Linked DNA regions of Alligator mississippiensis. The protein of the gene in region 1 purifies or fractionates together with the protein of each later gene. This does not show direct contact. Links are inferred from orthologs where the notes say so. Each region holds a gene or a part of one and is shown on either strand. Other genes may lie near its edges.

The links.
Region 2: the proteins of PRKAR2B (region 1) and AKAP1 purify together in Homo sapiens (affinity purification with mass spectrometry; 3 studies listed by BioGRID and IntAct, counting the BioPlex papers as one, with this or other methods). This does not show direct contact. The link is inferred for Alligator mississippiensis from reciprocal best matches to the Homo sapiens genes PRKAR2B and AKAP1.
Region 3: the proteins of PRKAR2B (region 1) and CDK5RAP2 purify together in Homo sapiens (affinity purification with mass spectrometry; 3 studies listed by BioGRID and IntAct, counting the BioPlex papers as one, with this or other methods). This does not show direct contact. The link is inferred for Alligator mississippiensis from reciprocal best matches to the Homo sapiens genes PRKAR2B and CDK5RAP2.

Annotation. Positions count from the first base shown.
Region 1 is NC_081827.1:27,443,738-27,451,232, forward strand, and holds the start of PRKAR2B (cAMP-dependent protein kinase type II-beta regulatory subunit), read left to right. Parts: upstream 1-4,398; coding exon 4,399-4,705; intron 4,706-7,495. UniProt on the Homo sapiens protein: Regulatory subunit of the cAMP-dependent protein kinases involved in cAMP signaling in cells. Type II regulatory chains mediate membrane association by binding to anchoring proteins, including the MAP2 kinase.
Region 2 is NC_081837.1:6,728,502-6,735,951, reverse strand, and holds the start of AKAP1 (A-kinase anchor protein 1, mitochondrial), read left to right. Parts: upstream 1-4,439; 5' UTR 4,440-4,543; intron 4,544-7,450.
Region 3 is NC_081835.1:56,638,198-56,645,138, reverse strand, and holds the start of CDK5RAP2 (CDK5 regulatory subunit-associated protein 2), read left to right. Parts: upstream 1-3,883; 5' UTR 3,884-4,098; coding exon 4,099-4,151; intron 4,152-4,240; coding exon 4,241-4,308; intron 4,309-6,941. UniProt on the Homo sapiens protein: Potential regulator of CDK5 activity via its interaction with CDK5R1. Negative regulator of centriole disengagement (licensing) which maintains centriole engagement and cohesion. Involved in regulation of mitotic spindle orientation.

The DNA.
Region 1 (7,495 bases):
TTCTCACTGGTGGCAGATGACTGAACAAGGAGCAATGGTCTCAAGTTGCAGCAAGGGAAGTTTAGCTTAGATATTAGGAAATTCTTTCTTGCTAGGAGAGTAGCAAAAGCACTGGAACAGGTTACCTAGAGAGGTTGTGGAATCTCCATCCTTGGAGGTTTTTAAGACCCAGCTAGACAAAGCCTTGGCTGGTATGATCTAGCTGGGGACGGTCCTATTTTGAGCAGGAGGTTGGACTAGATCCACAGCAGGGACTGTCTTTTCATCCATCTTTGTATGGTTCCCAGCACAATGGGCTCCTGCTTGTGCTCAGGGCTCGTAGATCTTATGGAAAGACAAATAACAGCATTAATAAAGATATGTAACACTAACAGAGACAGTGATAACAGCATAAATGGAAGCTTTTTTAAAGAAGTAGAACCAGGAAATTAAGATGGCTCTTAAATGGCCAACCAGACTGCATGTTCAAATCTGCAAGGGAAATCTGAGAAAAGAACTAAATACTTCATGCAAAATTTGGACAGTTGAGAATAATCCTCAAATAAAATTTAATTTGTGGCATGGGACAAAGGTGCTCAACCTCCTGCCCCCGCAGGCTGGATGAGTGGCTTGGAGCTGGCTCACAAGCCAATTCCCACAGGCAGGTTTGGTTTGGGGGCTGGATCCAGCATAGGGGTAGTGTACAGGGTCTGTGGGTACAATATAGCATGCTGGTCTTGCCCCATGCATTGGATCCAGCCATAAAGTGACTTCACACACCAGGGTGATCCAGCACACAGGGCCATGTCATCTGGCCCATGGGGTTCCCCACAGGTCTGGAAATGTTGTGGTGGCAGCAATGGCTGTCCTCAGGTGACAGCTGCTTGAGCTGCGCAGTGTGGATTTATGCTGCTGCTGTGGTGAAAAAACAGGCAGCAGGGCAGGCTCCCTGAGGTACCTCCCTCAACCCCTGGGTGCAGGGCTGTGGCTCCCATGGCAAAGCCTCCTGGGGAAAGGGCATCCATTCCACTCCTGTCCCCCAGATACACTACTGGCAGGAGAGCTGTGTCTACCCTGCTCCTAGGGCCACAGACTCATAGGGAGATGGGGCATACTGGCACCCTGAGTTAGTGCCCCTCTTACCCTACCCTAGTTGCATTAGTGTTGCTACTGTCACCCAATTTCCAGGAGCCCCACAAGCTGGATGACTCCAACCTGTGGGCTGGATTAGGCCCACAGACTGCACCAATGCCATAGGAAACTTTGGCTTTTCCTTGCTTGAAACAAAATTCTGGAGCACAAACCATCCAAAATAGAGAGAACAAAGTAACTGCTTTATAAATGCCTGAAGTGGAAACAAGAAGTAGTGGGGGTCTTACCTCTGACTAAAATCAGTGCTGGCAGGAGCTTTTACCTGACCATGAAGAAAGAAAATGCAGATGGACTTTTACTTGCTTTTGCGGGGGAGGAGGGGGGGTGTTGTTGTTTTGGAAACAGCATTGCCCAGGAATATGTCCAAAACAAAACAAGAAGGGGGATGGCATTTCTAAGTGTGATCGATTATGCCAAATATAGCTTCAGGGAATGATGGCATGGGGCTTTTGACACGGGGCTTCCCCAGGATGGGCATGCAAGTGCTGCAAGATATTGGCCGGTTGATGAATTTATTTGTATGGAACTCTAGCGTCCGTGGGAAGGTATTCTTGGGTGAATCTGCAGCCTTTTCAATCAAGTCTAAGATGAGTCCATCACTAGGGGCTGAAGCTCACTTTTATGAGCTGAGTCACTGCTACCAGAAATGGCCTTTTAGGTAACAATTTAAATTCTCAGGACTGGAATTTTTTAAAGGAATTTTCAATGATTGTCCAGTAGCACATTTATATTATAAGACTTTTTAATAGAGAAGCATTACTGAACCTAACTATATGAAGCCACATGGATTGTGCTCAGTCTTTGATTAATAATGAACCTAATTTGCCAAAACAGCTGCTACATGTCCCTGGATATAGATAGTCACTTGGTCACATTCACACAAGTGAAGAAGGCAGTTAAGCAGTCTTTATGCTAGGACACACAGGGATCCACTTGAACCTCAGTGCAAGGCCTGTCCAAAACCTACATATTTCATCAAGTTTATGTGATTAAAACACACCAGTTTGTGTAGCCAATGGCACACAAAGGGATTATGTGATTGGCATCACTTCTGGCCACCTTCAGCTCTTTGACTCCAATTACCAGACAGATTTACATCTGCATTGCCTGGGGGTTACCTTTGGCATGAGTCTAAAATGACGTTTAAACTCTGGCTTGCAGATCCATAGTAAGACACTTGATCCACTCTGTCACTGTGCTTCAGCTCTCAGTGCACCATATCATAATTTTTTTTTTGATTTGGAACTGATGTGCTTCTGACAGATTGCTTGCAAGATGCTTATGTAACATGAACAACCTGCTTGGAAGCACTAGAAATGTGGACTGACAGAAGCACTTCAGGTTGGAACAGACCACAATACTCCCAGTGATCACTTGAGATTAAAATCTTTGTGCCACAGATCATCAAAACTCAGATGCCAGTGTTGAGAACCATCCGTATTTGGATCAGGATGGAGCTATTAAGACCCTCAGGCTAGGGACAGAACTTAAACATAAACTGGTATAAGTGATTGGAAACTGGTTCAGATCTGTAGCGCAACACAAGTTTAGTGCACATAAACTGCTTTCAAAATGGCCAAAACTGGTTGAAGATAAACCTGGATGGGTGCAGTATCAAATTGAACTGATTTAGCTTAAATCAGTTTATTGAACTTCTGTCCCAGAGCTCCTCCAGGTTCAAGTTAACTCACAGTCCCCCAGCATCCCAGGAAGCTTTGCACCTCCCTGGGCAGCTAGGTTTGGCCCAAGCTGTTTGCCAAACAGGGAGCTGTGCTCTAGTGCCCCCCTGCCTGGCTTCTGGCCTGAGCCACTGCAGGTGTGTGTGGCTGCATTTCCAGAATCAAAAGTGAATGTCTGTTCACTTGCTTATCTGTTCAATCTACACAGCTTAGACTATCTGCAAAGCAGGGCCGTTGCTGGGGTGGGTGAATTGGTGCGCCCGCCCCAGGCCCCACAGAGCCGGACGGAGCAGCCGTGGCAAGTCTGTGCTGCCACCAGCTTCATGTCCAGCTGCTTGGCACCCCCCATCCCTGCCGAATCCGCCACTGGCTTCCTTGCATCTGTGGGCCCCACACAGCCTGATTTGCCTCGGCCCCCACGCTGCTCAGGTCATCTCTGCTGCAAAGATTGAATTGATTCAGCCTCAGGCTTTTTGACTGTCTGTATTTAACCTCAAAGTATCTCAGGGCAAATACTGCGGGATCACACAATATTCAGACTTATACTGAGAGGTGAAAAATGCTATGGACATATATAGAATATTCTAAGGCTATTACTGTAACACCACTCTAAGAGATTAATCAGTGTTTACTGTTCTTGGCTCACTGGGTGGGATTCATCACTGGGTAGGAAGTGCAGTCACCAGTTAATTAATACAAGTCACTAATACATGATGCAATACCAATAGCGCAGTTCTCTCTCTCCCCCTTTCAGGGAAATAGCAGCCTGGTTTGTTGCAATTCAAGAGGAGGCAACCTGCAGAGAGCAAGGGCCCCCATTTGGCAGGCGCGTGCACTTGCACTGGTGCTAAGAACCCCACACCTGAGCCCGGGCCTTCCCGGGTGCTGCGCTGCAAGCTAAACAGGTGTGGTCCAGGCTTGGGGGCTGGTCCCTAGCCCTGCAGGCTGGATGCATGGCATGGAGCTGGTTCACAAGCCAATTCCCACAGCCAGGCTCAGTTTGTGGGTTGGATCCAGCACACGGGTGGTGTGCAGGGTCTGCGGGTACACCACCTTGGTAGAAGTCCACCAGCTTGGTAGGTGGACCTTGGTAGAAGTCCCTTGGTAGATGTCCACCAGCTCCACCCAAGGGCAGGAGCTTTGCCAAGCAAGCCACCTGGTGCCAGCGCAGCTCTGGGGTCCCACCGTTGTCCCCCGCTCTCCTAACAAGGGCAGGAGGCGGGTGAAACTGGCCCATGGCCCTTTCTCCTGGAAGGCCGCGGGGCCTCAGCGCGGGGCTGACTGCGGGCTCTGCGCCGGCGCCCACCCCGAGGCACCCCGGGGGGCGGGTCTCCCAGGCCGCGCGGGGCCGCTGTGCGGGGCGGGGGCGGGGCGGGGCGGGCTGGGCCGCCGCAGCCCCGCGGGGGTTGCCATGGTTTCGCGGTCACATGCGCGCGAGGTCCCCCGCGGGGCGGGCGGGGCGGGATGCTCAGTCGGTGCCGGGGCCGCGGAGCGCGAGCAGCTGCTGCCGTCGCAGCTGGAGCCGGAGCCCGGAGCCGGTCCCGCAGCGCCGCCCCGCCCCGCCCCGCACCCCCTCGGGGCTCCCGGCATGAGCATCTCCATCCCGGCGGGGCTGACGGAGCTGCTGCAGGGCTTCACGGTGGAGGTGCTGCGCAGCCAGCCCGGCGACCTGCTGGACTTCGCGCTCCAGTACTTCGGGCGCCTCAAGGCGGAGGCGGAGGCGGCGGCCGAGAGCGGCCGCAAGGCGGGGGGGTCCCCGCCCGGCCATGCCCGCGCCGCCGGCCTCGCGCCCCGCCGCGGCCCCGCCGCCGCCGCCAGCGCCCGCGGCGTCAACTTCGCCGAGGAGCCCGTGCAGACCGACTCCGAGAGCGCCGACGACGAGGACGACTTCCCGGGTACGGTCGGGCCGGGGTCCCTGCTTCCCTCCGGCGGGCGGGCGGGCGGGCCGGGTCCCTGCTCTGGGCCTGCCGCAGCCCGGCGGGGACCGGGGGCCAAACCTACCGGTCTGGGATCTCCACCACTGCCTGCACCCCAGGGTGCCCCGAGCACCCCTCTGCCTGGTACCCTGTACCCAGGGGCAGGCAGCCCCCGGCACAGGGGCCCACAAAGGCATTTTGCTTCTGGGGGCTGGGGCTGCGCTGCCACTACAAGGACGGGACCCTTCGTGTCTCCCTTGCCACCTGCCCTTGGCGGGCCAGGATCTTGCAAAGGGAGGTAGGTGGTGGGTGTTTTTGGCACTCTGCTCCCTGCTATATACCTGGCGCTCCACCTCTAGCTATAGCCTTGTATACCTAGCGTTCCCCTGCTAGTTAAACCGGCACCGTTACTTCTGTCATATATGAACAGGCAGCAGCGGTGCATCCATTGGCTCTGGTGCTCTGTGGCTGCTGGACATAAGAACGGAGCATGTAAGAATTGCCGTCCGTTGGGTCAGGCCCCCTTCTCGGTGCCCTGTGTCACAGGGTGGCAGAGAGTGGATGCGGAAAGGGAGAGTGAATTGGGTAGGACCAGGGCTTTTTTTTTTTCTTTCTTTTGACCCCACTGTTCCTCTCTCACTTGCAGCCCTCTGGCATTAAAGGTCTAGGACTTACTGCATGTGCGCTTAAATTCATATTTCAGGGGTGTAGGTTGTAGCCATGTTGGGCTAAGGAGATGGGCAGACAAGGTTCTTTGGGTCACTCCAATATCTTTTATTAGACAAACTCAAATAGTTGAAACGATTCTTCTTAGCAAGCTTTCAGGCACTAACACCCTTCGTCAGGCTGAGGAAGCATCTGCAGATGGTCTGTGCTCCTTCTTCTTGGGTGGAGTGGTAAAACAGCCAGTACCTATGCAAGAAAGGCAGTTAGTGAAAATGTAAATTGAGGTGATGGGTAGGTGAGACACAGGTGGGGTGGAGGGGGAATGAATGTAGCTGTAGTCAAAGGATGAGACAGGAGAGGGAGAGGGAATGAGAATAGCTGGTAAAAAGTGGAGGGTTTACCTGGGGAGTTAGATGTTAGGCAGGTTATAATGTGTCATAAATCCAGTGTCTATATTTAGTCCATGATTTTTTTGTATCCATGAAGTGAAGTTCATAGGCTTGTCTATGAAAGGTATTTTGTAAATTCCCTTTGGGGATTAGAACTGAGAGATTGGAGAGAGACTGGTTGTCTTGTGAGAAATGTACCTCCACAGGTAATGTGCCCTTCCCACCTGTCTCTCACCTACTGACCACCTCAATTTCCATTTTCACTGACTGGCTTTCTTGAATACGTACTGGCCTCTGGATGCTTTACCACTCCACCCAGGAAGAACACAGATCATCTGCAGATGCTTCCTCAGCCTGACAAAGGGTGTTTGTGTCTGAAAGCTTGAAGAATTTTTCCAACTATTTGAGTCGATCTAATAAAATATATCCCAAAGAACCTTGTCTGCCTTAAATTCATATGGGATTTTACATACACACGCTCCTAGGTAATTCCATGAGGTAGACAGCAAGAGGTTAATATATTTTTCAAGTCCTGCTTAAATCACCTGCACAAGGGCCCAAGGCATGAGCATAGCTGTGAGGACAGCAAAAGAAGGCTGCAGGACCTCACCTGATTTCAGGCTCAGACTTATCTGTTCACAGCTCAAAATGTATTCTTTTTGTATGGCTGACAGGATTTATTGGGGACAGAGCATCTCTGTATTAAGGGGACAAGGCATAGCTGCCTTTGAAAAGGTGCAGAGCTCTCTGTTTAGGTAATGGGAACCTGAAAAGCAAAGGCTGATTGGTAAGTGGGGTTGAAGACTAAGGGAAACATTTTCATCATTCTGGATTTTCTGAGAACAGCTTGAACTTGCACTACGTTATTAGCTCACTGGAGCATTTCGCCCTTCCAGATCAAGTTCCAGCTGTATCTCATAGCAATGTCCAAAAGCTTGCAGTTTGCTAGCTGAACTGCACAAGCTTTTATATATGTGAAATATTTTAAGTAATGCCTTATATGCATTTTTTTTCCAAGAAAGCCAGATATTTAAAAAGCTCAACAGAACAAATTTAGCTTACTTAAATAACACTCATAACTTCCCAGTGAAATTTAGATGCAACTTGCTTATGATATTAAACATCCTTTCAATCTATACTTTGCAGCTAGAAGCTACTTGGCATATGTAATTAAGAAGCGTTTGTAGTTATCAGTCACATACTGCAGATTTACATGATGGTTTTGAACTCTTTTGAAACTGATGACATCATCTTTGAGGTTGGCATAAATTCCTAAACCATTAGTGAACTTGGAAGCTGGCACAGAATGATAATGAAGAAGAACTGAAATAATATCATCATTCTTTGATACTGAACATAGCTTGTATCAAACTTATAATGTAGTCGGCTGTTTAATCAGTGGTAAACAGACTGCAGGCATGTTACATTTACAGTGTGGCAAATAGAGCAAAGTAGCATGAATTTATTGGAATATGTGTGTTATGTGTGAATGTTTTCAGGTTGTTTTAAGAAGCCTTCTAAGAATTATAGTGAATATTTGCAATCAAGACTTTATTCATGGTCACTGTTTTGTAATCTTAAAAAAATCAACACAACTATAAATAGTTTCACATATAAAAAAGTCAAACAAATCTTTTAGTCAGCTTATTAATTATATGTAGAATAACTCTAGAAAGCAAAATGTGTGTGAAATGTGGGAGTCTTTTTAAAGTTT
Region 2 (7,450 bases), on another chromosome or scaffold:
TATAGCACGTACTTTCTAAAAATGAAGCCTACATCTATCTCCGAGTTGTGAATAATATGCATTTGGGTTATATCAAAGAACAAGAATGCACTTTTTTGTAGAAAATGATTAAATCGAGACTTCCTGACCAGTGAATGAAATCATGATTTAAATCATGGTTTAAATTGATTTGACTTAAAGCAAAGCCACCCTGGAAAGAAGCACACATGGAAAGTACTCCAAACTCCTATGTGAGTGCTTGAGAGGGATCCAAGACTGCCCTGCTGGGATTCAAACCGGTGGCCCCAGGGTCCCAGAGTCTGTCAAATTGGATGCTGACTGTATTTAGCCAGCTCCTATTTTGCTGTGAAGCTGTACTGCTTTGCTTGAAAATGTTCAGGCCTCCTCTCTGCTTCCCTAGTCAGCTCATTTCTGCTGTCTCTTAAAGTGCCCGAGCTTTCTTCCTTGCACGCTGCTCCCCTGCAGCGTACCCCAGCTCTCCCTTCTGGGCAGCAGAACAGGCTACAAGTCGTCCAAGTCTCTTTGCAAACCCACAGGCACCTCTTGCCAGGCAGAGACATCCAATAAGTGAAAGCATTTTCTTTTTCGTTGCTCACAGCGTAGCAGCAGCATTGTCATTGGGAAAGCTTTGCTTCCTAGATGCAGTGGCTGTGGCGATAGTGGCTCCTGGAGCTCCAGTTTGAACAGACACCGGCTTGTACCCTGGTCAAAGCCCGTTTAAGCATCACCTTGGTTAAGACTATTAATTGCCAGTGTTTTGCTGGCACTCGTTCTTATTGCTGCTCCCTGCGATGCTGAACCAGTGTTTATGCAACGCTGAGAGGGGCGAAGCAGAACGCTACTGTTGGCACAACGATCTCCATTGCCCAGAAAAAGGCTTCAACTTTGCACAGCCAGAGACCTTGTTACAGAATGATACCACCTGCCCTGCTCACAACTGTCTGGTCTTGCTTGCCCCGGGGAACATCGTCCTTTAACCCCTGCTGCCCGAGCTCCCCGAATTTACGCTGTTATGTTTATCCCCATTTTTCTTGCTGTTCGTAAAGGCTCCAAGACATCTGTTCCTTGACAGTAGTGGGGAATGAATTGCAAGTTTGCACCTTAAAGCATGCCACCTGTGAGAGCGACTCTCACTGCAATGACCCCTTACTTAGCACTGCAGGCTTTCTATGTTATTTAGGAGTGGGGGGCACAAGAACACATCACTTCCAAGCCCCTCCATAAATGCAGGCCATGCACCACATAGAGTCCAAAGCCACCCGTGCCTGGGTGCATGGTTTTATTAACACCGCAATGAACAGCAATCCAACATAAAGTCCCACTCCCAGGCTAGGTTGCTCAACCCCATGCCCTGTGCTCGCTTTCACTTCCAAACCGATAGGCTGCTCAAACTGCTGAATGACTTAGACCTTTGCATCAAATTTCCCCAGCATATGGCACGTCTAGCTTTGCCCATATTCACAAAGAAACGTGACCCTTAGACTCTTTTTATGCTATTAAGGCCTGATCGAATATACCCTTTTTACACAGAGCCATCTAAAGCAGAGGTGGTCCAGCTTTTCAGCAGCTTCTGGCAAAGATCAGTGCTTGTTGGCACAGTGCTACTAAGATCACAACCGGGAGATCCAGTTAATGGCTGCCAGCAACATTTTATTGTTTACGGCTGCTTTCATGACAGAGGGACGCTAAGTGTGATCTCTTCACAGTACGCTGTGGCATTTTTAGAGACATTGGTATCCCTATTTCTATATGACGGCCATGGGAGCTGAGTCAGAGAGCGTGCGATATATCCCAGACCATGCACAGATTAAGACGTTCACTTAGGTTAAGGTGTGAAGGAACCAAAAGGATCGTCGGATCTGCCCTCCTGCATAATGCACAGCAGGAATCCCCCCCAACCAATTCTGTATCAAGCCCATGATTTCTGTTTGAGCTAGAAGAGAGGTGCTCAACCTTTTGGCCCCACAGGCCAGATGAGTGGCGCAGTGCTGGTCCATGGGCTGGATCGAGCCCCACAGGGCCTCGGTTGTCATATGCACGGCGGGATAGGGCCCTGGGGTCTGGTGCTGACCCTGTGCACTGGGATAGGCACCCCCCCTCGTGAACTGGGACCAGGCCCTGGTGGTCCATGCTGCGCCTCCGCGCAAGAGCACAGGGGCACAGTATCATAGAAAAGTTGGGCTGGCAGGGACCTCCAGAGGCCACCTAGTCCAACCCCTGCCTGAGGGAGGCTCATAAACCATCCCGTACAACCATAATCTAAACCAAATAAAATCCCTTAGCTAGCCGAACCTCACCTGCGGGCCATATTTTACCTACCCTGATCTGAACTACATAAGATGACCCTTAACTATTCCACTACACCACTCCTTCCCTGCCACCAAATGTTGGGTTTGTGGAGAGCCCCCGAGGCTGGATGACACCGCACCAGGAGCCGGATCTAGCCTACGGGCTGGGGGCTGAGCACCCCTGAGCTGTAACGTGTCTAAAAGGAGACCGAGCTAGATTTCGAATCCAGGACATACATGCCAGGGCTGTGACCTCCAGCTTGTGCTCAGACCACATTTTTCCCTCTACATTTTCAACATAGCATAATTTTCCTCTCATCTTGAAAGCCTTTGAAAGGTAAAGATGGTTTTGTTGCCCTGGATGTTACCGGTATAAGGGGACATTACTTAATGGAAACAAACTGGCCTGAAGCTAAAAAAAGTAAAATCAACAAACCAACATTACTGCGGTTTAACTCTTAGGTGGTGCTTTACATCCCCTGAACTCAAAAGCACTTGACAGAGGAGTGGGATCTCTACCTTTTTTTCCTACAGAGGAAACTAAAGCAGAGAGAAGTGACTTGCCCGAGGTCAGGCAAGGCAAACCTCGCAGCAGGACCCTGATCTGAGCACTGTTCTGGCGTGATAAGACAGCGAGCCAGGCTGCCTTTTCAGCATAAAACACCACAATCCCCACAGGGCCGTTGTTGGTCGTGATTGTTATTACTATTAAAATGTATTCCAGTCTCAGTCCAAATCCAAGAGCCGATTAAATCCCCAAGCCAAATGAGCAAAGCTCAGTAACGATGTCTATACATATTCACGGATCTTCAACCAGGCCAGGATCCTACATGCAAGTGCCAGACCTACAGGCCTGGGAGCTCAGGGCCCGTTATACTGGATCTTAGACAAAAGGCTAAGCAGCAATCCTCACGTGCCTTTCTCCCTGTGGAAGTCCTTTATAGATGACGGTCGTCGTGTCGCTGCTGTTTCAATACACTCAGTGCCAGGGGGAAATGCCGCCATCCTGTCCCAGTGCAACTTATCACCGCTGGCGGGTTACGAGAGGAAAAGGGAGTGTGCATCCTTCTGCAGTACAGGGCCTGGCCACACCGAGTACTGGCTTGCTGAACATGGATTTTCCTTTGAGGTTTCCCCTACTCCTCCCACGGAGCGTGCCGAGAGCGGGGACGAGAGAGAGACGCTGCAATCCTGACTTCCCCGAGCAGCAGCTTGCAGGCACGCGCAGCCTAACGCTTTGCGCGACGTGCCGAGACGTTGCTGAGCGCTCCTGCAGTAGGGACCAGCTCCGTGTCAGGACCAGAGGGTGACTTGACCGGGTGCGTAGCTCAGTGGTTTTGAACCAGGACGCCTCGAGATCCTTTCCAGCGGGCCGGGGAAAGCCGCGCGATGTCAGCACTGTCACGCGCGTGCAAACCCGATTCATAGGCTTTGCTCTTCTCAGGCAGGAAGAAGTTAAAAGCCAGTTTGAAAACCTATCCGCAAACTGGACAGCGTTCGGTACGGTTTGAGCAGGGCCGACAGAGCCTGGATTTGCTTGTGTGACCCTCCCGTACCCCCCTCTACAGTTACAGTGTTATACGGCTCGCAAGTGTTACAGATACTTGTAACTCTACAGGTCACAGTGTTATAATTGTTACAAACACCTGGAGAGTTACAATACAGGTTACAAGTATTATACAGTTAACCCCGCAATGCATTCAGACCGCCTAACGTTGCCCACGCAAAGTACCGATCGCGCCAGAAAAAGGTGCATCCAGAGCTGGAAAGCGTGCGATAAAAAGGCACGCCTTTCATTCCTGTGTCCACCACCGCAGGTTGCATCCTTACGCCAACCCTCCTGCGGCCCCCGCTGGGGCGTAGATCAAGGGCAAGGTGGGGGTGGGCAAAGGGAGGACATGGAGCACCCCCTTCTCCTGGTAAATGGGGTCGTCTTGCAATCGAGTAAGTGACATTTGCCCTCGCGGGGGGCTGCTGGGGGGGGGGGATGGGGGCACTCCCACCCCGCCAGGAGACGGGCAGTGCGGGGCGCATGCGCACACACTCCCCTCCCCCCCACCCCCAGCTCAGCGGGGGCGGGCCCGAGTCTCGCGCGAGGCGGCGTTCTCGCGAGAGGGGCGGGGCGAGTGGAACCTTGTGCCGCGGGCGAATGTCTCAGAGTTCGGCGGGGCTCGGCCGGGCGGCACGTGGGCACGGAGCGGGGGCGGGGCGCGGCGCGGCGCGGCACGGCACGGGGGAAGAGCACCGCACGGACCGTGAGTACCGCCGCCGGGGCAGGGTTGCGCCGTTTCCCCTCCCCGCTGGCGCTGGGGGCGGTCAAGGTCACGGTCACCCCCCCACACCCATCCCCGTTGCTTTGGCTGCGGGTGCATGAGCTAAGTGAGCCCCCTTGCCCACCCTCTGGGGGGATGGGGCTCCTCCTGGCCCCCCAGACCCGCAGCAAGGCGTGGGGATCCCCCTCCCCAGACTCCCCAAGAAAGGAGCGGGCCCAGGGGTCCCTGGTAGATGCTCAGCCCAGGCAGCGGCGCCGCGTGAGCGCCGCCTCCACGACCGCGTGCGAACGGCTCCTTCGTGGAGGAAACCCTACGCCTGGGCTACAGGCGCCCTTTCGGCGGTGATGCAACCCCACCGAACGCCGGGGCTGCGCGAGTAAAGACTCGCCCGTGTTTGCACGGCGCGGGCAGGACGGCACCCTCTGGGCGCCGACAGGCTGCAAATTAGCTAGCGCCTCTCACGTCCTTGCACCACCTCTGCCTCCCTCGAAGGCTGGCGTAATGCTGGAGGATGTGCAAAGCCGGCTCGGCAACACTCGAGCGGCTTGGCTGCCCGGGGGGAGTTGTTTCGTTCGAGTTGCAAGTTGAACTTCTGTCGGCGGGAGGTAGAGACGCGCGCCGGCTCCGAGTTGAGGGCGTACGATGAGGGGTCTGCGAGATGTGTCCTAAGGGCCTGTCTTTTCGTGGGTGCTTTGCTATCCGATATCCTAAATCACATGTTTCTCTGCTGGCCACGTGTTCAGGAAGACCGCAGGGTGCGAGAGTGATGGCAGCACTGACTTTTCAACGCTGCAAGGGCCAGCCTGGTTTGTTTGGAAGGCGTTGGGCTTGCTGATGTCTGGCCGGTGTTATCAAAAGGCCTGTGGACTTTGCTTCTGGGGAAAGGAAAGGACCTGTTGCTGGGGAAAGTGATAGGAAAAGAGGCTAACTTCACGTCTCCTGTTTGTTTTGTGTCTGTGAATCATCTACTCTGAGCCCTAGCCGCAGGAGCCGGGCGGTGAAATGGGAAGGAGAGAGCATGTGACCTGCTGGAGCATGGTACAGCTGCTCCATGAAGCAGCGTGCCTTGTCCTCTGCGGAGAAGGCGTCTGAGCAGCGCAGGGCTTGGGAGTGGTGATAGCCGCTTGGCTGCTGTGTGACCTTGAGCAAGTCGCTTGCTCTTTGTCCCCTAGCTGAGCCATTTGCATAATGGGCGAAATACCTGTTGGGGCAGCTGCTACACCTCTGCTCTTGGTGCTTTTCAGTCGGTGAACTTAAAGCACTTCAAAGTATTTTTACTTTTTTTTAATGTTACAAGCTCCTCGGGCTCGCATGCAAATTGCCGAAGCGTGGTTGTAATTGCATAACTGACTTGCATTTCGGTACCAACCCAGTGCAAAATTCAGAGCGGGTCCGAAAGATCAAACCCCAGTCTCAGTTCTTTGCTGACTGAACCGCAGTCACGAGCCCCTCCGCTCCTTGCTGTGTATCGAGACTTCCTATCCTGACACCAAAATGCCGGCTCCCCCCTGCTTCCATTTCTGCTGTGGCGTTGCTGAGTGCATTCTTTGCAGTGCTTGTGAAAATCCTCGTGCACCTTTAGTGCTCGCGGGAAGAGCTGGCTCGATGGCCCCGCAGGCTGGGATCTGTCGTCTCCGGTGTGGATAGGAGCAGAGCATGCTGCCTTCTAACCTCTCGGCGTCACCAAGGTTGTAAAGCCACCTCAGTCTCCTGATCGTGTCTGCTCCAGCTGCCAGCGTGCTGGCCGGTTGGCTTGTAAGCTTTTGATCCAGACCTTGTAGCTCGCAGCATGCTCATTCGGCACCTAGCACAACAGGGCTGCGGCCTACCAGTACCGCACACGATCTGGCTGTTGCTCTAGCCAAGACTGGAGTTCAGCTGTGCTGGGTGCTTTGCAAACACCTAGGAAGCATTTTATTTGGGGTTACGGCCCGAGCCCAGCCTCTTTTCTTTAATGTTTTAAGGATTTAAGCTGTGTGTAGGGTGGTGGAGGGAAGTTCAGATGCACGGACTGTAGTGGAGCATAATTGTTTTATTGGTACTAAGTGATGTCCGCGTAGGATTTTACAGGGATACCGATGTTGCAGAATACTTTCAACTCTAGCCCTGTTTTATTCTAGGTTACAGTTGCAGTGATTTGATTTGATTTGTTTTAAGCTCTGTTGTATGGCTGCAAATGCAACAGTTTTATTATCTTAGCTAGTGTGCCCTCTTCTTAAAGCGGTTACGAGTTATTTCTGCTCATAGCCTGAGTGTGAATCTTTGAGAAGTGCTCAAGGCCTCATTGAAATTTGTAGGATTTGGGCACCACAGTGCCTTTTTGGGTCTGACCTTACGACTCGAAGTCACTGAAGTGCTTGAATCCCTTTTGAGAAGGGGGAGTTGGGGGGAAGGTTACCTTCAAGGAGGTCCTTTGAAAGCAGGTACCGCTTAATGGCAGGATTTCTGTGAGAGGAACACAAATGTTGTTTAATGCCACAGCCCTATTTATCTGCAGCTTTCATCCTCCCGGTGCCCTTCCCTGCTGTAAGCCATACACTTATTCGGGTAATTTTGCTGTCTGTGAAGCTCTTGAATAAGCAGATGTGTGTTGCCCTTTGAAATGCTCTTTTCAATCGATAGAAGTAATGAAACACTTAGATGGCTAACAGGGACTCCTTGATTTCCTATTTAAAAACTGATGTCAATGATGAGCTTTTCTCTGTCTTTATATACATACAACCAAGTATCTTGTCAGGAAGCAACTGGTCATTTGAGGTGCCTTTTAAAAAAAACCTAGACACTTTGAGGGCGAGTGCTTGCTATTTCTAAGGAGTTGAAGCGTAATTTTAGGTAATGCATCCAGAATCTGCTCTGCCCCAAAACTGCGAGCTGTCTGACTGTCCAGGC
Region 3 (6,941 bases), on another chromosome or scaffold:
TGGCACTCACTGGTTGGGAAACATAGGGCATCACCTGAATTTACAGGCTAGTATTTGGCGTTTAGGTGTTTCAGAAAGAGAAATTAATTCCATTTACAGAAAATGGAGTAACAGGATGAAACGGGAATCCAGAGTGATAAGGTAATAACAACAGGCAGGCTCACATACTGGTGCTGATTCCAAGCCTGTGCATTGAGGAGGTAAGCATCTTCTTGACACAGTCCAGATGGTTATGGTGAATAAGTGTAATCCAGCACTACAAACATAGAGGAGAAAATAGTCTAATAAACAGACATGGGCTGATCCTGTAGACTGGCCCTAGGCAGCCTTCTCTCAGAAAATGGGGTACATTTGTATCTTACAGACAAACTAGAGATGCATAAACTTTAATAAGCAGTAGCTTGCTTTATCAGATACTGAAATCATCTCTGTCCTTATGCTATAGGTAATGCTGCATATTATTAAACTGAAAGTATTCATTTTTTCATTGTTGACACCTGGGGGGACTCCTGCCTTGCTCCTTCGTTTAGTTGGGATGATAGAAGTCGAGTCATCAGCTTTCGCTATACGATCAGTCAAGCTAGTGGTGCAATATTTAGATTGCAAACACTGCAGGAGAATGTTTAAATCCTACCAAAAAGATTCAACTAATTCATTAAAACTATAAAAGCATGTCAGTCAAGTTTTGAAAAGCTTATAGAAGAATAACACAATCCAGCTTTGGGATCCAAAGTACCTGTTCTGCACGGTATCAGCTGAAGTAGTCAAGGGAGGTGCTGACAAATGAAAGCAACTGGCATACAGTAACACAGTCCTGCCTGTATCGTAATAGAAGACAGGAATCCTCGGACACATTAGGTCTCCAATAGAGATAACAAATATGGCTTACTGCTATGTAAACATTATTAATAAAGGTAGGACCAAGATGAGAGAAGGGATTGTCCAGCAGGTAGGATGCCAGTCTGGGCTTTAAATAACTAACTGCATTCTCCTAAGGTCTGCCCCTGACTCTTTGAGGGACCCTGGACAAATACACTGCATCCACGTTGTGAACATAAACTCGTTAAAGACTGTGAGGCATTCACTTAGCGGTGTAACAATGGCCAGGTGCCTGGGGCATTGGCCACACACGGGGGTAGTGGTGACTTCTGGTCATTGCTGCTGCAGGTGTGATCATGCGGCTGCTGTGACAGCTATTTTTTTCTGCCCCTCCTGCACTCCAACCCCATCCCCGGTCAGTGCCAGTTTCAGTTGCCCTCCTCCAGACGCCACTTTTATTTACTATGATGATGAGGCCTACATAAGTGCCTCAGATAGAAGTTTCCCCTGGACTTAATCTTGAAAAGTGTGACCCAATCACCAGCTCTGAATTCTAGAGATTAAATGTCAAACCAAACTAAGACGTGAGCCTGTGCCAGTGACTAACTCGCAAATCGTACAGCATGGCTGTCAATGCGTTGTTCCTAACGAAGGAAAAAATGAATTGGGCATACATAGAGCATTTCACGCGGTTTACATGGAAATATTGTATGGGGTTAGAATAAAATCAAGTTTGGGATACTACCCTTGTACAAGCTGATACAAATACCATTCAATGGTGAAATTATATATAATGTTAAAATATGGCATTTCATAATGGATTGTCACTTTATTTTTAAGATAAAATGATCCATTTGCAGAAATGTAGCGTGGATGTTTCTGGAGTGGATCATCTTAAAAACAGGCTCTTACCTGAATACAGTTGAAGGGTATATATTTCCTAGCTGCTTGAAAGCAGCAGTAATGGAAATTGCACACACATATTGAGGAAAGAGAACACCCCTAGGGCGATAAAACTCGATCTAACAATACACTGCATGGTTAAGTATACTACTCTGGCAAAATACCAATTCTTTTGTAGCTTTCATCTCGGCATTGAGCAAGCTTATGCATTTAATAAACTTATTTCAGGTGGTATTTTCAAGGTTGATTTGTTATGATGGACAGGATTCTTGGTTTTAGATCCCTGAATTATACATTTTGCTTTTAAAATAACAAGAAACTTAAATCGTGAGACTAATTCTATCCATCATACCTGCTTACCTACCTATTTATCGGTAAATGCATATTCCAGATCACTAGTACTTGAGCACCTGCTGTTACACATTTTATTTGAGCAGACAATACACTTTCTCACAGGCTCCCAAGCAGAGATGAAGTAGTGTTAGAGCAGGGGAAAGGCTCCCCATGGCTTCATGCTGTTTGCATTCATTCCCTTCCAAACCCATGTCCTGTATTTCAAGGGAGTCAAAGGACAGGCCCTAATTCTTCTTTTGTTGGCAGGCTCTGTTTGACACACACACAGGCCTGCATAAGCTTGACCCCGCAGTTAAATGCATGGGTTAGTGCAATGTGGATGGCCATGCCCGTAACCCAAGGAAGATGCAGTGTGTCCAGATGAACCAATGCAGCTGGGCTGTGGGTGGGAGCTGGGGCTCTGCTGGTCAGAGGTGCTGTCCCGCACCCCACCAATTCCATTCACTTCTGCCAATCTTGGTGCTCGAGGCCTTTGAAAGTCAGGCCCTGTGCCGCCCACTCTTAGAAGCAGGCATTCACCCAATAGCCTCAAAAAATGGCCAGCTGTTGCTAAGCCAACCTAATGTGGCCACCATTCCCAAACCCGGGGCTGGCCAATCTGCCACACTTATGCCACAAGTGGCAGAGGCATCCCATGTGCAGGGCACCTGGCTAGGAGTTGCCAGCCCTGGAGTCTCCAGGATTGAGATATAATCTTCAGGAGACGGCTGAGAGTCACCCAGGAGATAAATGATAGAGCATTCATTAAAATAGATATTAAATGTCAAATCCAATTTATACTGCAGTCCCGTGGGTTTTTACAGTTTTAAAAAGTAATAGTAACATACATTTGTTTTCCTGAGTACAGTAGATCAATCATTCATGTCTCTGCATCGTGTGATGAAACCTCCTGCGATAGATTCAGACAGAGCTGGAAACCCTGCACCTGGCAGATGGAAAGGGAGCAGGGAGCAGAAAGCAGAGCAGCAGATCGGGAAAGGCCCACGGGGAAGGAAGCAGAAAGCAGAGCAGCAGATCAGGAAGGGCGGACAGGGAAGGAAGCAGAAAGTAGAGCAGCAGATCGGGAAGGGCGGACAGGGAAGGAAACAGAAAGCAGAGCAGCAGATCGGAAAGGGCGGACAGGGAAGGAAGCAGAAAGCAGAGCAGCAGATTGGGAAGGGCGGACAGGGAAGGAAGCAGAAAGCAGAGCAGCAGATCAGGAAGGGCGGACAGGGAAGGAAACAGAAAGCAGAGCAGCAGATCGGGAAGGAAGCAGAAAGCAGAGCAGCAGATCGGGAAGGGCGGACAGGGAAGGAAACAGAAAGCAGAGCAGCAGATCGGGAAGGGCGGACAGGGAAGGAAACAGAAAGCAGAGCAGCAGATCGGGAAGGGCGGACAGGGAAGGAAGTAGAAAGCAGAGCAGTGGATCAGGCACGGGAAAGGGAAGGGAGTGGCACTGGGGGGACAGCCTGCGGCAACTGGTAGCCCCTGGTGACCTAGAGGATCCCTGAGGGCACCGCCTGGTGATCTGACACAGCCCCCTAATTATATCCACTTTATCCGCAAAGATGCCCTGTACCTTCTCCCCGAACTGCGCACCACGGGGCCCTAAATAAAGATGGCGGCGCCCACACACATGTTCTTGTCCTAACGACGCAACACAATGCCCTTAGTAAAGATGGCACCTTCTTAACCAGCTTCTATTGCAAACTGACGGCTGCTCAGACTCCCCGCCTTCCTTCCCTCACTCAAGATGGCAGCTGCCCACACTCAACTCCTACCCCGCTCACAGCCCAGTTGGCATTGTCCACCCCCGTCTGCCCTCAGTTAAGAGGGCGTCCGCGCGCGCTTCCGCAGGCGGCTCCCTCAGCAAAGATGGCGGCTTTCCCCATAGATGTCTACGGTGCCCTGGTGCCAGGCCCTCCTGGGGCGGCTTCAACGGCTTCACGGTCAGGGCCACAAGATGGCGGAAGCAGCTGCAGCCGTTTGAATTCCAGCGGAGCCGCCAAACTCGCACAATAATAACCGGGTACCGCCGCCGCCATGGACTCGCTGCCGGGGGACGACCCTACGCTGCCCCTGGACTTGGGCGGCAGGTAGGAGCTTAACCGCGGTGTCACCCCCTCCTCCCCGCGTGGCGCCGCGTCCCGCCGCCCGCGCTGACCCGCATCTCTTTCTCCCTCAGCGTCAACGTGGCCGACCTGCCCGACGTGCCCGGGGATGCGGCCCGGCCCGGCTCGGCCGGCAGCGCAGGTGAGCGGGGGCTGCCCGGACACCCCCGGGAAAGTTGGCGCGGTTCCCGCGGGCCCGCCCTGCCGCACACACGTGCACTTGACGCGCGATAGAAACCCGCGCGGGCGCTTTGTGTGCGACCCCGCAGCGGGTCGGCTCTTCTCTTTAAAACTGGTCCCTCATTTGTTTTCATCTCCTGCCACCATGACTTTGTGCGGGTGGCCGGGGTGCATTTATGGCACTGAATGGCGTGGCAGATGCTTTGTGCGGGCGACGGGTTTATTGTGCGATTCACCAGTGATGTGCACGAGGGCGCCTTTGCGCGATGCATGTATTGCATGTTTATTGCCTGGTTCCCCAGTGAAGTGTGTGATAATTATTTTGCACGGGAGGCAGGGGCACATATATGGCACGGTTTGACAGTCAGTTGTACGATTACGTTGCACGGATGGCTGGTCTACATTTATGGCGTGATTCAACCGTGATTTGTGTAATAGTTTCTTTGCATGGGTGGCTGGTGTACATGGCTTGCACAGTTCATCAGTGGATTACACAATAATTACTTGTTATGTATAGTATGTTTGTGTTTCACCAGTGAGTTGCGTGGTGATTGCTTTGCATAGGTGACCGGTATACACTTATAGCGTGTTTCACCAGTGAGTTGCATGGTGATTGCTTTGCATAGGTGACCGGTATACACTTATAATGTGTTTCACCAATGACTTCCACGGTAATTACTTGCATGCTTGGCCAGTGTACATTTATAATGCTTTCATCAGTGGGTTGAGCAATGTAGGCAATGTGTAGCAGGGGTTTAACATTCATAGCTGACCGCTGATTTTTCTTTTTCATCTAAATTGCAACTTGTTTCGGTGCTCTGTTTGAAACCCAAACCTGGGGAGACTCTGAAAGTGAAACTGCCCACCCACCCGAGTGCCACTGAATGCATTAGCCTAGCGGGGAGGAAAGGCGCAAGCTTAATGAAGCACCTGGATGCTCACGAGTTAGAGGGTTTTTACATTGTTTCCTAGGCAAAGAAATCTCTATTTATGGTGCACATGTGCGTTTGCCTACTTCTCTGGCCTGCCCCAATGGCTGGGAAGCAGCAGAGAAGACTTGCTATTTCTGTAACAATTTGGGGGCCTTCTTAAATCCAGCCTGCTCTCTGTTATCAGCAGAAGTTATGCATCTCGTAGAAAACCATAACCAGTGGCAAGGAATTGTCACTCAGATTACAAGGCACTATTTACCAAACAGATAACGTGATGATGGTGATGATCCCTTTTCTAAAAAGCCAGAAAACCTTCTAAACTCGAGCTACTCCTGCAGATACTAGTATTAGTCCAAAACATTTATGTTTCCGTTGCCATTAAGATCCTGAGGACCAGGCTCTGAACTGCTTGGACTAACTAGCACTATTGATGGTTCACTCTTAGTAATTTTTTTTTTAGAAAAATGGCATTAAAGTTTCATGCAGGGCTTTCCAGCTGCAGCCTAGTTAGGTTGTGAGAGTTTTGCTTTCTGTTGTGGCTGAGTCAGCACCTGCTCCATGTTCCTTTCTAAAGGGAAAAGAAAGTCTTTCCATAAAGTTTTACTGCCCTGTATTGATCAAGGACAATAATTTATCATCTTTTGCTTTATTGTGACCTTGTGGTGGCTGCCAAGTTCGTCTTATTGCAGGTTTTAGAGAAAATATAGCCTGATACATTGCTTTTGAAGCAAAATGGATGTATCCTATTATTTTGTGAAGTGCTGTTTGCACAGTTATAACAATTGTGTGCGTCTTGGACCATATTTCTGGTCCATGCGATTTGGAGGCTGGTCTGGCCACTGTGTATTTGTGCAGTTAACTAAAGTGTGTTGTAGATGTAATTTCAAATAGCTACTGCTGCTCCATTATTAAAGCAATTTATGTATACTTATCCTGGGAGCATATTAAGGTTATGAAACAAAAATACATTCTGAAAAACATGCTTGAATGGCAATATAGCTGTGGCTGTATTCTCTTAGTTGTTTTAAGAATGATGTCTCATTAGATTAATCACAACTTCAGGATTTTAAGATCTCAAAAGCGAGCATTTCCAGGGGTTTTTCAGACTGTTGTGCATATATAACTGTGTATGTAGAATTATTCCAAGTTGGAAGATACTTATTTTTTCTTTTAGTAGCCACAAGGCTGAATCTAGGACCTCAGTCCTTTCTGTGGTCTCTGAGTTCTACCTTTTCTCCTTGGGTTTATTTATTTTAAGATGCTACATTTTGTGTGTTGTTTTGATTTGTTTTAAGCATTTTTCTAGAACTAATTCCCCCCGGCCCAACCTGTTGTTTTTAAGATTTTATGCAGAAAAACCTTGGATGCAAATGCTGCACTTTGTAATATTGACTTGCAGAATTGGCTATGTGGAAATGGCACGTTTTTTAGTAGCGAGTTACCCATTGTTTGTCTATGGGTATTTCTTTGCTTCATTTTCCAGCATGCAAATGTTGCACTGGTGAATCCCCTTGGCATCTGCTGCTTTGAATGGGTGTTACAGGTATAACTGGGACGTCTGACCCAGGGGTGTGCATAGGTAAGCTAATGCAACCAAAACTTAGCTACAAAGCCTGTAGCTAAGATGAAATGGATTAATGCATAATGTAAAAAATGGTAATAA